Mus musculus: one gene and its partners. The protein of the gene in region 2 purifies or fractionates together with the protein of the main gene of each other region. This does not show direct contact. Links are inferred from orthologs where the notes say so. Each region holds a gene or a part of one and is shown on either strand. Other genes may lie near its edges.

Region 1 (4,246 bases), on a different chromosome or scaffold from region 2:
TGTACCACAGTATGAGTGTAGAGATCAGAAAACTACTATGGGAATCCCATTTTGCCTTTCATTCTGTTGATCCAGGAGACGGATTCAAAGGGTTGTTTAAACTTGATTAGTTATTGGAATTTCAGCACTTGTTGTAATTTCTATCAGGACAGAACTTGGTTTACAGAATTGATGTCAACAGTCTCATAGTGCAGCTAGAAGATTGCCACTAGCACTTAAGTGTGACCTTAGTAAGTTTTATCAATTCTGACAGTTTCATCCCTGTGAGAAAGGGATAGTTATTTATCTAAAAGGATGTGAGGATGAAACATTCGTAGCACCTGCTGCCTGAGGTATGTTTTCTATTACATAATGTATCAATGGAAAAGATTTAAAATTATAGTGTGTATTGGCACTGGATTGTCTTAGTGGGATTTAAGGTTCCCAACTAATGTCAGAGTTAGCATATAATTACGAAATTAGTTTCCTCCCTTCACACATAATACCCAATGTACTATAAAACATTTCCTCTTGAGCACATTTGGGGAGCTGGAGACAGGGTTTTTTCTTATGAAATCCCTGCGGTCCTGGAACTTGCTCTGTAGACCTGGTTAGCCTTGAACTCTGCCTCCTAAGTGTTCAGATTAAAGGCATGCGCCACCACCCCAGGCTCTGGAGCACATTTTACTAACACCGCTGACCAGATACCGACAGATCAATTTATCGCGTTGATTCTAGAAAGCGTTTCCACAAACACTGTTTTAGAGGATGGCCGAGCGTGCAGTTGTGCAGTCAGGACTTAACAGCTCTTAAAGCATGGTTGCAATGACCGGAAAAGGCGCGCAACCCAATTAGTTCAACTCCTCTTTTGGATTCCTTCTGCCACGCAGATTCAACCCTGGAACTCCGTTCCACATTAAACCGAATTGCCTTGATTCGTTACGAAGGGTGGAGGGACAGCTCTAGAAATCCAACAGTCAGGGACGAGCAGCCGTGCGGTCGCAACCTACCGGAGGCTACTGTGGCACCCCCCACCCCCCGGAAGTTTTTGAGGCTCCAGTTACTAGGTCTGGGAGTCACCTTGACCCTCCCAGAAAGGTGGGGAAAGTCCTGGCCGGAGACAGAATGAGTGAAACCAAAGACAGAGAACACTTTCGTGAGCAGAAGACGCCCTCACGTTTTCCTGTTCTCAGAGGTATCTAAAGACCGAGAGTTTAAGGGTGACAAGAGCAGGTGGCAGAACTCCGCCCCGTACTCGCTTCCCCACCTTCAGCGAGCACGCTGCACACTTTCCTTGAGATCCCGCCTCTCAGGCGCGCGCGAAGAGTTGCTGCGCAGTGCACGCTGGGAGTTGAAGTTCAGGAGTAGACAGCCATCCCGGGCTAATCAGTTGTGGCCTACAGGCCCCATGGTGCCGTGCGGCGCAGGCCGCTCCCGGATGTGTGCTTGGCGCCGGAAGAGAAGGCGGCCCCCCTCTCTCGGCCCGGCCATCTTGTGGGAAGAGCTGAAGCAGGCGCTTTTGGCTCGGCGCGGTCCGCTGCAATCCGTGGAGGAACGCGCCGCCGAGCCACCATCATGCCTGGGCACCTACAGGAAGGCTTCGGCTGCGTGGTCACCAACCGATTCGACCAGCTATTTGACGACGAATCGGACCCTTTCGAGGTACTGAAGGCAGCAGAGAACAAGAAAAAAGAAGCCGGCGGGGGCGGCGTTGGGGGCCCCGGGGCCAAGAGCGCGGCTCAGGCCGCGGCCCAGACCAACTCCAACGCGGCGGGCAAACAGTTGCGTAAAGAGTCCCAGAAAGACCGCAAGAACCCGCTGCCCCCCAGCGTCGGCGTGGCCGACAAAAAGGAGGAGACGCAGCCGCCGGTGGCGCTTAAGAAAGAAGGTAAAGCCGGGCGAGGCGGTGGGGAGCCCGGGCTGGCGGGCAGGACGGGGGCGTGCGCCGCCGCTTGCTCGTGCAGGCGGCGGGGCCGCAGAGCCCTCGGAGCCCCTTCACGGTGCGGGGAACGTGGCTGGTCCCAAGTCCACGCCGCTCTCTCGGTCGCTTGCTCGCTCGCAGGCTCGGCGGGAGCCTTCCTTCCCGCCTCGGGCGGACGGAGCGTGCTCCGAGAGGGCGGCCCGGGCGTTCCCGCCGATTCCTGCCGGGCGCTAGCCTCCTGGCTCTAGGCGCTCGGGAAGCAGCGCGGGCATTGCTTCCTGCCCGGCGGGCTCCTGGCTGCCGCTGCCTGCTGTGGGCTCCTGCCCTGCCATCTTGTCCCACAATGGCGCGGACCCTCAAGGAAAGGCCCGGGCTCAGAGTTTCCACTTGGGCTGCGTCTCCGTTTGGGGGTCCCTGTTAGAGTGGAGGGAGGGAGGAGTTGCTGTTTGGGTCCCACGTGTGTGTTTTGTGTTGTGCCCTTTCGCTCTTACGTTAGAAGAAGTTCCTGTAACTTACTGGCGAGAACTAAAGTGTTGGAGAGGAGAAGAATTTAGCCCCACTCATTTTAGAGGGAGTTCCGAATAAAAAACTGGTCATTAGTGGAACCCATCTCATGTCTCCATCTCTTCTTCCAACTAACTCCCTGGAGCCCCCAGGTCATAGGGCTTTGCTTGTTCTGGGCCTCGTGGGCGAAATGAGTGCCCAGCCTGTCATGTCCCGGCAGCAGAACTCAGGCTGCAGCTTTTCCTCCGCACGTGCGTAAAGCGTGGTCGGGTCTTCATTGGCGGCTAATGGTCTCTTCAAGGGCACTAGAAGTTTCATAGTTGTTTTGATTTTAGCATTCTTCTCCATTACTGGCTTATTGTGGATGAAAAGGCAAAGCAATTAGGGGCTAAAAAAGTGAAAAATCAATAGCGAGTACATATAGAATAACCTGTGAATCTTTAAAATTGGTATTATGTTAAAGTGCCTCTCAATGCCACGTGCTCATGAAAGGAATTGTTTCTCATTAGATTGTGTTAGGTTTGAAGTTTTTTGGGGGTGGTGGTGTCTTTCAATGAAGGCTTAGAGTAAAACATCCAGTTCCTAGTAGATTTATAAAAGGGAAGAGTTCTATTAATATATTTGGAAGCATAGTCTGGAGTGTTAGAAAACATCACTTGGGCAGAAGTACTGAGCGGATTAAGCTTCTTGACATTACATAGTTGAATAAGACATTTAATTTCTGTGTTAGGGACACTAGATAGTGTTATTTAAACTACTAAAATTTACCTCCTTTATGACTGTAATTCACAGAAGTACATGAATAAGTTGAGTAAATAAAACACATCACATAGATGAACTCAAAAAATGGTCAAAACATGAAGCATGATTTTAAATTATTCAATTTTCATCACAAAGCCAATTTATGATCTTGCCTGTAAACTAGCATAAGTCATCAATGGAGGACATTTTTATTTATAGCCAGGATTACGTTTGTCATTTACTTCAGAAAACTTTTTCACAATAGTAGTCAACCTTTTTTTTAGTTACGTCCAAGTCTTCCATGGGTTGTACTGGGTATTGAACTTAGAACCTTGTCCTTGCTGGGGAAAATTTTGCATTACACATCTCAAACCCTTAGATCACTCTTTAAAACCAGAGTTGATTTTAAATAAGGTTATATATACATATGGGGAAATTTTGAATAAAACTTCCAGTTAGTGCTGTGTGGTGGTGGTTGGTAGACTTGTAAACAAAGTACCTATCTGTAAGAGTGGAAACAATTGTTAACCTATGGTGTGTCCTGTGTCTCGGGAACACAATGCTGGAATGTAATGTTTTTCTACATAAATTTTGATGCATTTGTCTATTTGAAGAACTTGAATTGGCAAAATGTCATTAAAAGTAGACCAGGTTTTTTGTGTTTAGCAAAAAAAGAAAAGCAACTCTGGATATTAGTGCAGTTAAGAAACTCATGTATCTGGTAAGTACAGTAAAAGAACCTTGTATGCTTTTTAAAAAATTTTTTTTCAGTAGATGAATTTATATTTTGTGGTAAAAGTGGCCGAACCCAGCATTTTGCAAACTAAGTGAAAGTAGCTCTCACTGAGCTACACTCCCAACCACTTGATGAGTTTAGTAAGTTTTTTTCTGATTATGTAGGCCTCATACTGAATATTGGGTGGGGAAGCAAGCCATTGTTCCTTGGGTGTGTTTAGCTTGGTTATCATTACAAGTTCTGAGCTGGTTCTATAGCTCCACCCCAATACACTATACCTCTGATGAAATTTATGTAAATGCCACGGCATAAGGGCTACATTTAAGGCTTGCCCTGAGAATTTACAGAGACTGAGCTTAAATATT
Region 2 (3,599 bases):
CTTCTATAAAAGACCATGAAAAGTAACATTTTATTGTGTAAACATATCTTAATATTACAGAGTCCAAAAGAGCAACCATCCCATCTGCTTCCCTAATGAGTACATTAAACAGAAACTTTAAAATTTCTAATTAATTCCCTTGTTTTCCCCAAAGTCTTTGACAAAGGACAAACCTAAAATAATAATACCACCAGATGACAACTCATCTTTATTAGAATCACCCTAAATATTACTTATTCCTCAAGGTACCTGGAATCAGCTCTAGAGTCACAGAGTTCATTCCACCTTCCCCACCTTCAGCACTCACCATACTCAATTCCCGGGTCCTCTTCCCAATTTCTCTTTCCACCTGATGCAGTTCCAAGCTGAGCTGCTCACTTGAGATCATTCCAGGCCATTTTGGAGGCAGCTGAGGGGGCTGTGGCTGGCTTGCCAGGGTGTTCACCTCCCTCTGTAACACCAGCCGGTTACTAACAGCCTAGTGCACAAAGCCAAGCACACACATAATTCAGCGCACCTCATGCCACATAGAAAACACTTTACCCAAAGTATTTTACCACTAAACTAGCCACAAGTTTGCAGTAAAAATAACCCAACTATAAACACATTTTGTCTTAATAGCACTTGAGAAACATGGTTTTAATTTTAAAAGATGTATTTTATTTTTAAGGGAGAGTGAGTTTTAAAAGATGTGTTTTATTTTCGAGAGAGAGAGACAGAGACAGAGACAGAGATGGCGTGTGTGAATGTTGCGATGTACACATTAAACAGAAATGCAGATGCCTATGGCTGCCAGAAGGAGAGCTGGATCCCCAGGAGCTTGAGTTATAGGCAGTTGTAAGACAGGAACCAAACTTGTATCCTCTGCAAGAATGGTAAGACATATTTCCAGCACCAAAAATAATTTAATCTTTTTTCCTATTTCAAAGAGAAATCAATTATAAATGTGTATCTTTCTTTCTCATTGCTATTTTCCATGATGTAAATCCTATATTTTTTTCTATAAAAACTCAATGTTCTTGAGGCAGGCTTTCTTTCCTTTTTCCTCCACTACTGTTTATTCTCAGACAATATTCTTTTTCTATTAGCCAAGAACTAAATTTAGTTCTGAATCCTCTGAAGAAGGGATATCTATACTAACGTTAGGCAAAGGCTTTAAAATTACGTGCTGCTTTACTGTGTCTCAGAACTTACTATTTAAGGAGACTGGAGAGGTGTTTTGATGGTTAGGATCAGATACCGCTCTTGTTGATGCCCTGGGTTTTGTTCTCAGCATACATGTCAGGAGGCCTACAACAACTGCTATAATTCCAGCTCCAGGCAGATCCTCCAACATCTGTATTCATGTGCACATACCACCCCACAAAATACATATACACGATGAAAGAAAATTATATCCAACTTAACATTCTTGGGAGCTCTTCAGAACTAGAGCACAAAACGGGCACAGTGCTGAACACTGAAAGCTCGATGTAAGTACCAATGTGGCCACACAGGAGGATCCTGAGTCTGAAGCCATGTGGGCTACACAGTGGTACTCTACATCAAAATTCCTGACACAAGAAAAAAGTATCTGTAGGTCTGTACCTCTAGTCCTCGTAGCTGGGTCTGCTGGCTGATCTGATGGTTCAGCTGCTGCAATTCTAGCCGTAATTGTTCTCTTTCAGCAGATAGAAGGGGTTTTCCATGACTGGCCACTTCTGCCATGGACATTTTCTCCCTTTGGTAAAAAAGAAAGAAACCATTAGGTAAATTTTGTATAAAGTTTTATTTTGTGAAATCACTACTGACTAGAAAACAAAGCAAGGAAAGCTAAATGTTTCAGATATTTATAACAAGTGAACAAGAATGGCTGTACCTCTCAATGAAGTGTCCCTGAGGAGGTATGTTTGCATGAGGTGAGTATGGAGAATCTCCCCAGCCACCATGAGCTCCATATGCACTGTAATCTGTAAAGGAACAGTTTACTGTGGTTTATGATGTCATTTACCAGTTTGATTCATCTAAGGCACTATCATCCAGAAGGCAGCGGCACACGGTATCTGTCTCTGCAGAAAGCTGTCTGCCAAAATGACAATGCATTTGTTTCTTCCCCATTGAACCTTCAGGTTTTGCATACTTTCTTTTCACTGTGTGCACGAGTGTTTGAATGTAGGGGTGAGGGTTGGTGTCAGATTATCTTCCCAAAGCACTAGGATTACACACACAACACATACGCATACGCGCACGCACGCCTACATTTTATGTGGGTACTGGGGATCCAAACTCAGATCTTCTTTATCCAGCCAGTCACCTCCTCAGACTCCAAGAATCTTATTTTAATAAATAATGAAGTTATTTAAGATAAAAGTCACAAGCAGCACCCCCCCCCTTGAGACAGGATCATTAGCCCAGAATAGCCTTGAAATCCCTATGCACCCAAAGCTGCACTTGAACATTCCGATCTCCCTACCTCCATCTCTCCAGTACTAGGATTACTGGCATGTGCCATAGCTGGTTTATGTGGTTTGGGGTATTGAATACAGGGTCTCATATATATTAGGCATACACTCTATCAACTGAGCTTTACACCTTAGCCCCTCAAGCAGTCTTAATATAGAAAGAGTTAATTTTAGTTTATACTCCTAAAATTGCCTGAAGTGCAATTGCTTTCTTATAGGGAAAAGTTTAATAATTGCCTTTAAGAGTCTTAAAAGCAGGCTGGTGAGATGGCTCAGTGGGTAAGAGCACCCGACTGCTCTTCCAAAGGTCCGGAGTTCAAATCCCAGCAACCACATGGTGGCTCACAACCATCTGTAATGAGATCTGACTCCCTCTTCTGGAGTGTCTGAAGACAGCTACAGTGTACTTACATATAACCAATAAATAAATCTTTAAAAAAAAGTCTTAAAAGCACTGATAGAATTACATTGAGAATCATAATTACCACTCTAGGATTCTTACCGGAAATGTTAATAGATTTTGTGGGTGCTCCCTGAGGTGCTATAGCTTGCAGTGGGCCAGCACCCTGATACAGTGTTTTGGATGTTCGAGAGATGGCACCGAATCGAGAGACTGTTGGTCGGTCTCCAAACGGGATGAGGTCATCATCGCTCGTCTCCACTGCTCTTCTCTGAAGGTCCAACCTCTGCTCTCTCGTTCCTTTACTTTCTACATTCTAACAAAAAGCAAAAATGAGAGTATGTTTAGCATAATTTCTACCAGCTCTGTAAAGGGGTTGTTAATAAGAGTATGATGTTCTTATTAGTAAGAATAAGTCTTTAGCTGTCTTTGGATGTCATATAAAACATTGGTTTTAGATCACAGTAAGAATTATATGACCAACAATTACAGACAGATGATAGTAGATGATAAATCTACCCATTCCTAAGTCATATGTATGAACATTAACTTGTCAGGCAAGCACTTTACCCCTGAGCTATAAGTCAATGCTGAGAGGCACTGAGTTAAGGCTTCTTTCATGTATCTGGAAAAACTTTTAATGGCATCTATACTAGGTTAGTAGTTTTATTTTATTTTTCCTAATTTAAGGAATTAGCATTACTTTGGTAATGTTACTTCAGTGTGATACCCCCCCCCCTTTTTTTAAAGATATATTT
Region 3 (4,259 bases), on a different chromosome or scaffold from region 2:
TGCCCTTGAACAACCGGAAGAAGAAAGCAGGAGGAAGCAACACAGACAAATCCTCTCCCCGTGTGCTACTTTCAAAAACTGCTTCCAGAGGCTGTTTTTCCAGAGGGGGCCATGGTGAGGCCCCTTAAAAAAACTCCCACAGGAAGTGATTGCCACGGCTTCTCAGAGCCCATGGTGGATCAAGAGCAGGGATGGAATACACTGTGTCTCCCCTTCACTTCCTGGACCCTGGGCTGGCACTTTCCAAATAAGTTTAACATGTCTCTTCTGCCTCTTTCACCACTACCATAAGAAACACTGGCTGGTGCTGTTTACTTGCGTGTGCGTGTGTCAGAGACAACCTGGAGAAGGCAGTTTTCTCTGCATGAGTCCTGGGGATGGACTCAGGTGTCAGGCTTGAAAGAAAACACCTTTACCCACTGAGTAAAGTGCTGATAAAGTACTACTCGGGTGGTAGTGGTGCTGGCAGCTGGGTCAGCACACGCTTTGATGCCAGCCTTCTGAGGTAGAGGCAGAGGCAGAGGCAGGTGGATTTCCTGCTTTTGAGGCCAACCTGGTCTACAGAGGGAGTTCAAGGACAGACAGGGGCAACACAGAGAAATCTTGTCTCGAAAAAAAACCTAAAAAAAAAAAAAAGAAAAGAAAACAAAACAAAACAAAAAGAAAAGTGTAAGAGAGCAACTACGAGGACCCAACAGCCAGAACCATGCCACTTAACCCAGCAGAGGTCCAGAGTGCAGGTCCTCAGAGGCAGGCTGTCTTACACTCACTTCATCATCTGAAGGATGCCTGCACAGTGTCTTTGTGAAGGAAGGAAGCAAGCAGTGAAGGAACGCCACGTGACTGAGGTGCAACTCAAGCCGGGCAGTCCTGGATCTGGTGAGACGCTTCCCGGGAAATGATTCCAGAAGCAGCACTGTTTTGATTAACAAGGACAGTCCCGGTCCCGTCTAGACCCGGGCAGGCAATTGGCACCCTTCTTGCATCCCACACCAACAGGATCACCCCTTCACTTTATTCAGATCTGTGCTCAATACTATCCCAGCAGGAGCTGGATCAGCAGGGGCTCGGTGGGTAAAGATACTTGCGCCCTGATGATTGGATTTGATCCTTGAAAGCCAAGACATGCAAATCACCTTGGTGCTCAGTGATTAAAAGCACACACTGCTCTTCAGAGGGCCTGAGTTTGATTCCCAGCACCCACAACTACCTGTAACTCCAGCTCTGCGTGACCCAACTCCTCGGACAGCATCTTCAGGCATTTGTCCTCACGTGCATACACCCAAAGTTAAAAATAACTTTAAAAAAGGAATCACCTCACAATAGATTTTCTCTGATCACCTAGCTAAAATTCTATGGCAGTGGGTATAATGGCACACAACTTTAATTTAGCACTCAGGAGGCTTTATGTCTAGTGAGTTTGAGAATAGCCTGGTCTATATAGCGAGCTCCAGGACAGCCAAGGCTACATACATAGTGAGACCCTGCCTCAATCAATCAATCAATCAATCAACCAATCAATTCCGCCCCACTCTCTAAACATTACTTTCTTCAAAGAAATATAGCAGACTTTCCAGGTAATAAATGGGCTCTCATAATTCCCTAATGGGAAAAATTCCTGATGGAGTACCACAGAAAACCACAGAAATTAAGAACTTTATCTTGGGACTGGAGAGATAACTCAGCGGTTAAGAGCACTGACTACACTTCCGTAGGTCCTGAGTTCAAAATCCCAGCAACCACATGGTGGCTCACAACCATCCTTAATGAGATCTGATGCCCTCTTCTGGGGTGTCTGAAAAACAGCTACAGTGTACATACATATAATGAATAAATAAATAAATAACTTAAAAAAAAAAAGAACTTAATCTTGGGGCTGGAAAGGTGATGGCTCAGCGGTTAACAGCACTCGCTGCTCTTGCCGAGGACCAAGACTGGGTTCCCAGCACCCACAAGTGGTGGCCCACAACTGTGTAACTCCAGCTCCAGTAGACGCAATGTCCTCTTCTAGTCTCGGCAGGCACCTGCACTCACACACATAATTAAGACTTTTAAAAAGGAATCTCGAGGAGCTCGGGAAAAATCAGATGAGGAACAAGGTAAGTGAGAGCAGGCAGGAGACACAGTGAAACGTCACGCCTCTTTAGACAGTTTTCAGAATGACTCCACTGGACACGCTGACCAGAGGGAACTTTTTCAGTGGCTGAGCCTGGGGGGGCCTTACGGCAACCGTGCGTGCTCGGATAGACTTTCCCTTAAAGCGTCTGGACAGCGGCGTGACAAATTCAAGCTTCCTGCGCCAGAATTAACTTGGAGAGCAAGGCAAATGCAGTGCAATCAAGATGGGGTGCAGTAGAATCAAGATGTGTCACAGCAGAAAATCCACTGGACTCACAGTAGAGACAGCTGAGAAGAGTGAAGGGCACAAGTACCCAAGCGAAGTCAAGTGGCCCTCGGGTCCCCCACGCGGGCCCTGCCGTCCCCGCGCGCAGTGTGTCAGCCCCTGGGTCGCGGCGCGGGCGCCTCACCTGCAGGCTTGTCTGCAGCCATCTTCCCGCCTCGGCTCGAGTTCCTCCCTGTAGGTGGCGTGGCCCCGACTCCCGCCGCCGGGCTGGTGGTGAGTCCTACCGGCGGGGGACAACTCTTCAGCTCAAGCCCGCTCCAGTCGCCTCGGCTAAGGTCCTGGGCGGGCCACGGGCTGAGGAAGTGACGAAGTTACTGCTCGTCGTCTAGCAACAGCGCCAACACATCCGCCGGTGCAGGGCTGTTTTCCCCGCCATCCACAGCTTCCGTCCCGTAGCGGCCAAGGGAGACGCTACTTCCGGGGCGGGGCCAGCTGGGCGTGGGAATTAGGGCTGGCCTCGGCCCCGGAAGCGCGTCCTTCTGCAAACCCGGAAGTACACTAGTGTAGGTCCTGAGTGAAACACAGAAGGGGAAGGACTTTTTGTTCCGCATTTCAGCAAAATGGCAGGCACCACACCTGAGGTTTATGTGCTAAGCTCTGAGTCTCATAGGGGCTGTTTTTCCATAACAATGAGGATGAGAGAAGTGTTGTTAGAGGAGGCCACCTCCCCCAGAAAAAAGGCTTTTTTTTTTTTCAAAGTTTCAGAGCTGTTTTGTTATTTGTAGCCAAGTTGAAAAAGCCATTCAGACTGCATTATGCATGCGGTTTCTCTGATTGCGAGTCATGCAACCATTAACTTACTATGGTAGGTCGGTCTAAGACAAAAGCTTGATGCATCACGATTACTAAGCACAATGATTTAGATTCAAGTTCAAATCCTCTGCAAAAACAATACCCACTCTTCAACTACCCAGCTCCCAACTATCTCATCTCTAGCCCATATCGTGACAAATTTTTGTTTGTTTGTTTGTTTAATTTTTTGAGACAGAATCTCACTATGTATCCCTATCTGGCAGTCTTTGTGGCAAAGGCTTTAACCCTGAACTGGTTCTGGTTTTGCTCAATGACCATAGCCTTGGGTTCCAGAAGCACCTACTCCATTCTTCCTTTCCCTTCTAGAGAACAAACAGCATTTATAATAACAGAGGTTCATTTCACGGAGAGAAACAGACATTAAAAGCATTTGTGTTAGACTTTTTGCTTCTGTGATAAATACCCTAGAGGAGAATTTAAATGAGGAAGGATGGATTTTTTGCCTCGTGTATCAGAGTTTTCAGTCCCAGGTCACTTGGTTCCATTGTTTTTGGACCATTAGTGAAGCAGTGCATTGTGCCAGGGCACAAGTGACAGAGTAAAGTTGTTGCCTTCCTGGTGCTAGAAGCAGAGGAAGCTGGGAGAAGAAATAGTCTCCAAGGGCACATGCAACTGAGATACTTAGCCCCACTGGGCCGCACCTCCTTAATTTCCATTACTTCCTAATGATGCACCAAATTACGAATCTGCAAGTGGATGAATCCAAGGATAGCTCCAAACTGTTGGAATCCTATTATCACTCTCAAGGACTGGGGGCCGGGCCTCCTATATGCAGGCTTTTGAGGGAGAGGAACTTCATATATAAATGACAACAGCACTGAATTGTAAAGTGACCCAAATGGTGCTTTGATGGGAGCATAGTTAAGTATGTAAATAAATAAATCACATGGAGCTATTTATTTGGTTTACATTTTTCTATTTTCTGTGTAGCTTACCTTAGAGATCTGCCTGTTTCTGCCTCCCGAGTGTTGGATTAAAGGCTGCACCATCACACCAGGTACTCCTCATAAGACTTTGAAATTTTTATTTTTATTTTAAAAAA

Evidence for each region. The genes of interacting proteins can lie anywhere in the genome.
Region 1: the proteins of Rc3h1 (region 2) and Serbp1 purify together in Homo sapiens (affinity purification with mass spectrometry, with the first as the bait; 3 studies listed by BioGRID). This does not show direct contact. The link is inferred for Mus musculus from reciprocal best matches to the Homo sapiens genes RC3H1 and SERBP1.
Region 3: the proteins of Rc3h1 (region 2) and Cnot10 purify together in Homo sapiens (affinity purification with mass spectrometry, with the first as the bait; 3 studies listed by BioGRID). This does not show direct contact. The link is inferred for Mus musculus from reciprocal best matches to the Homo sapiens genes RC3H1 and CNOT10.

What each region holds. Positions count from the first base shown.
Region 1 is NC_000072.6:67,265,543-67,269,788, forward strand, and holds the start of Serbp1 (plasminogen activator inhibitor 1 RNA-binding protein), read left to right. Parts: upstream 1-1,436; 5' UTR 1,437-1,554; coding exon 1,555-1,867; intron 1,868-4,246. UniProt on the Homo sapiens protein: Ribosome-binding protein that promotes ribosome hibernation, a process during which ribosomes are stabilized in an inactive state and preserved from proteasomal degradation.
Region 2 is NC_000067.6:160,961,829-160,965,427, reverse strand, and holds part of Rc3h1 (roquin-1), read right to left. Parts: intron 3,158-3,599; coding exon 2,944-3,157; intron 1,950-2,943; coding exon 1,859-1,949; intron 1,721-1,858; coding exon 1,588-1,720; intron 479-1,587; coding exon 308-478; intron 1-307. UniProt on the Homo sapiens protein: Post-transcriptional repressor of mRNAs containing a conserved stem loop motif, called constitutive decay element (CDE), which is often located in the 3'-UTR, as in HMGXB3, ICOS, IER3, NFKBID, NFKBIZ, PPP1R10, TNF, TNFRSF4 and in many more mRNAs.
Region 3 is NC_000075.6:114,637,391-114,641,649, forward strand, and holds the start of Cnot10 (CCR4-NOT transcription complex subunit 10), read right to left. Parts: upstream 2,811-4,259; 5' UTR 2,551-2,810; coding exon 2,529-2,550; intron 620-2,528; exon of another isoform or gene 1-619. UniProt on the Homo sapiens protein: Component of the CCR4-NOT complex which is one of the major cellular mRNA deadenylases and is linked to various cellular processes including bulk mRNA degradation, miRNA-mediated repression, translational repression during translational initiation and general transcription regulation.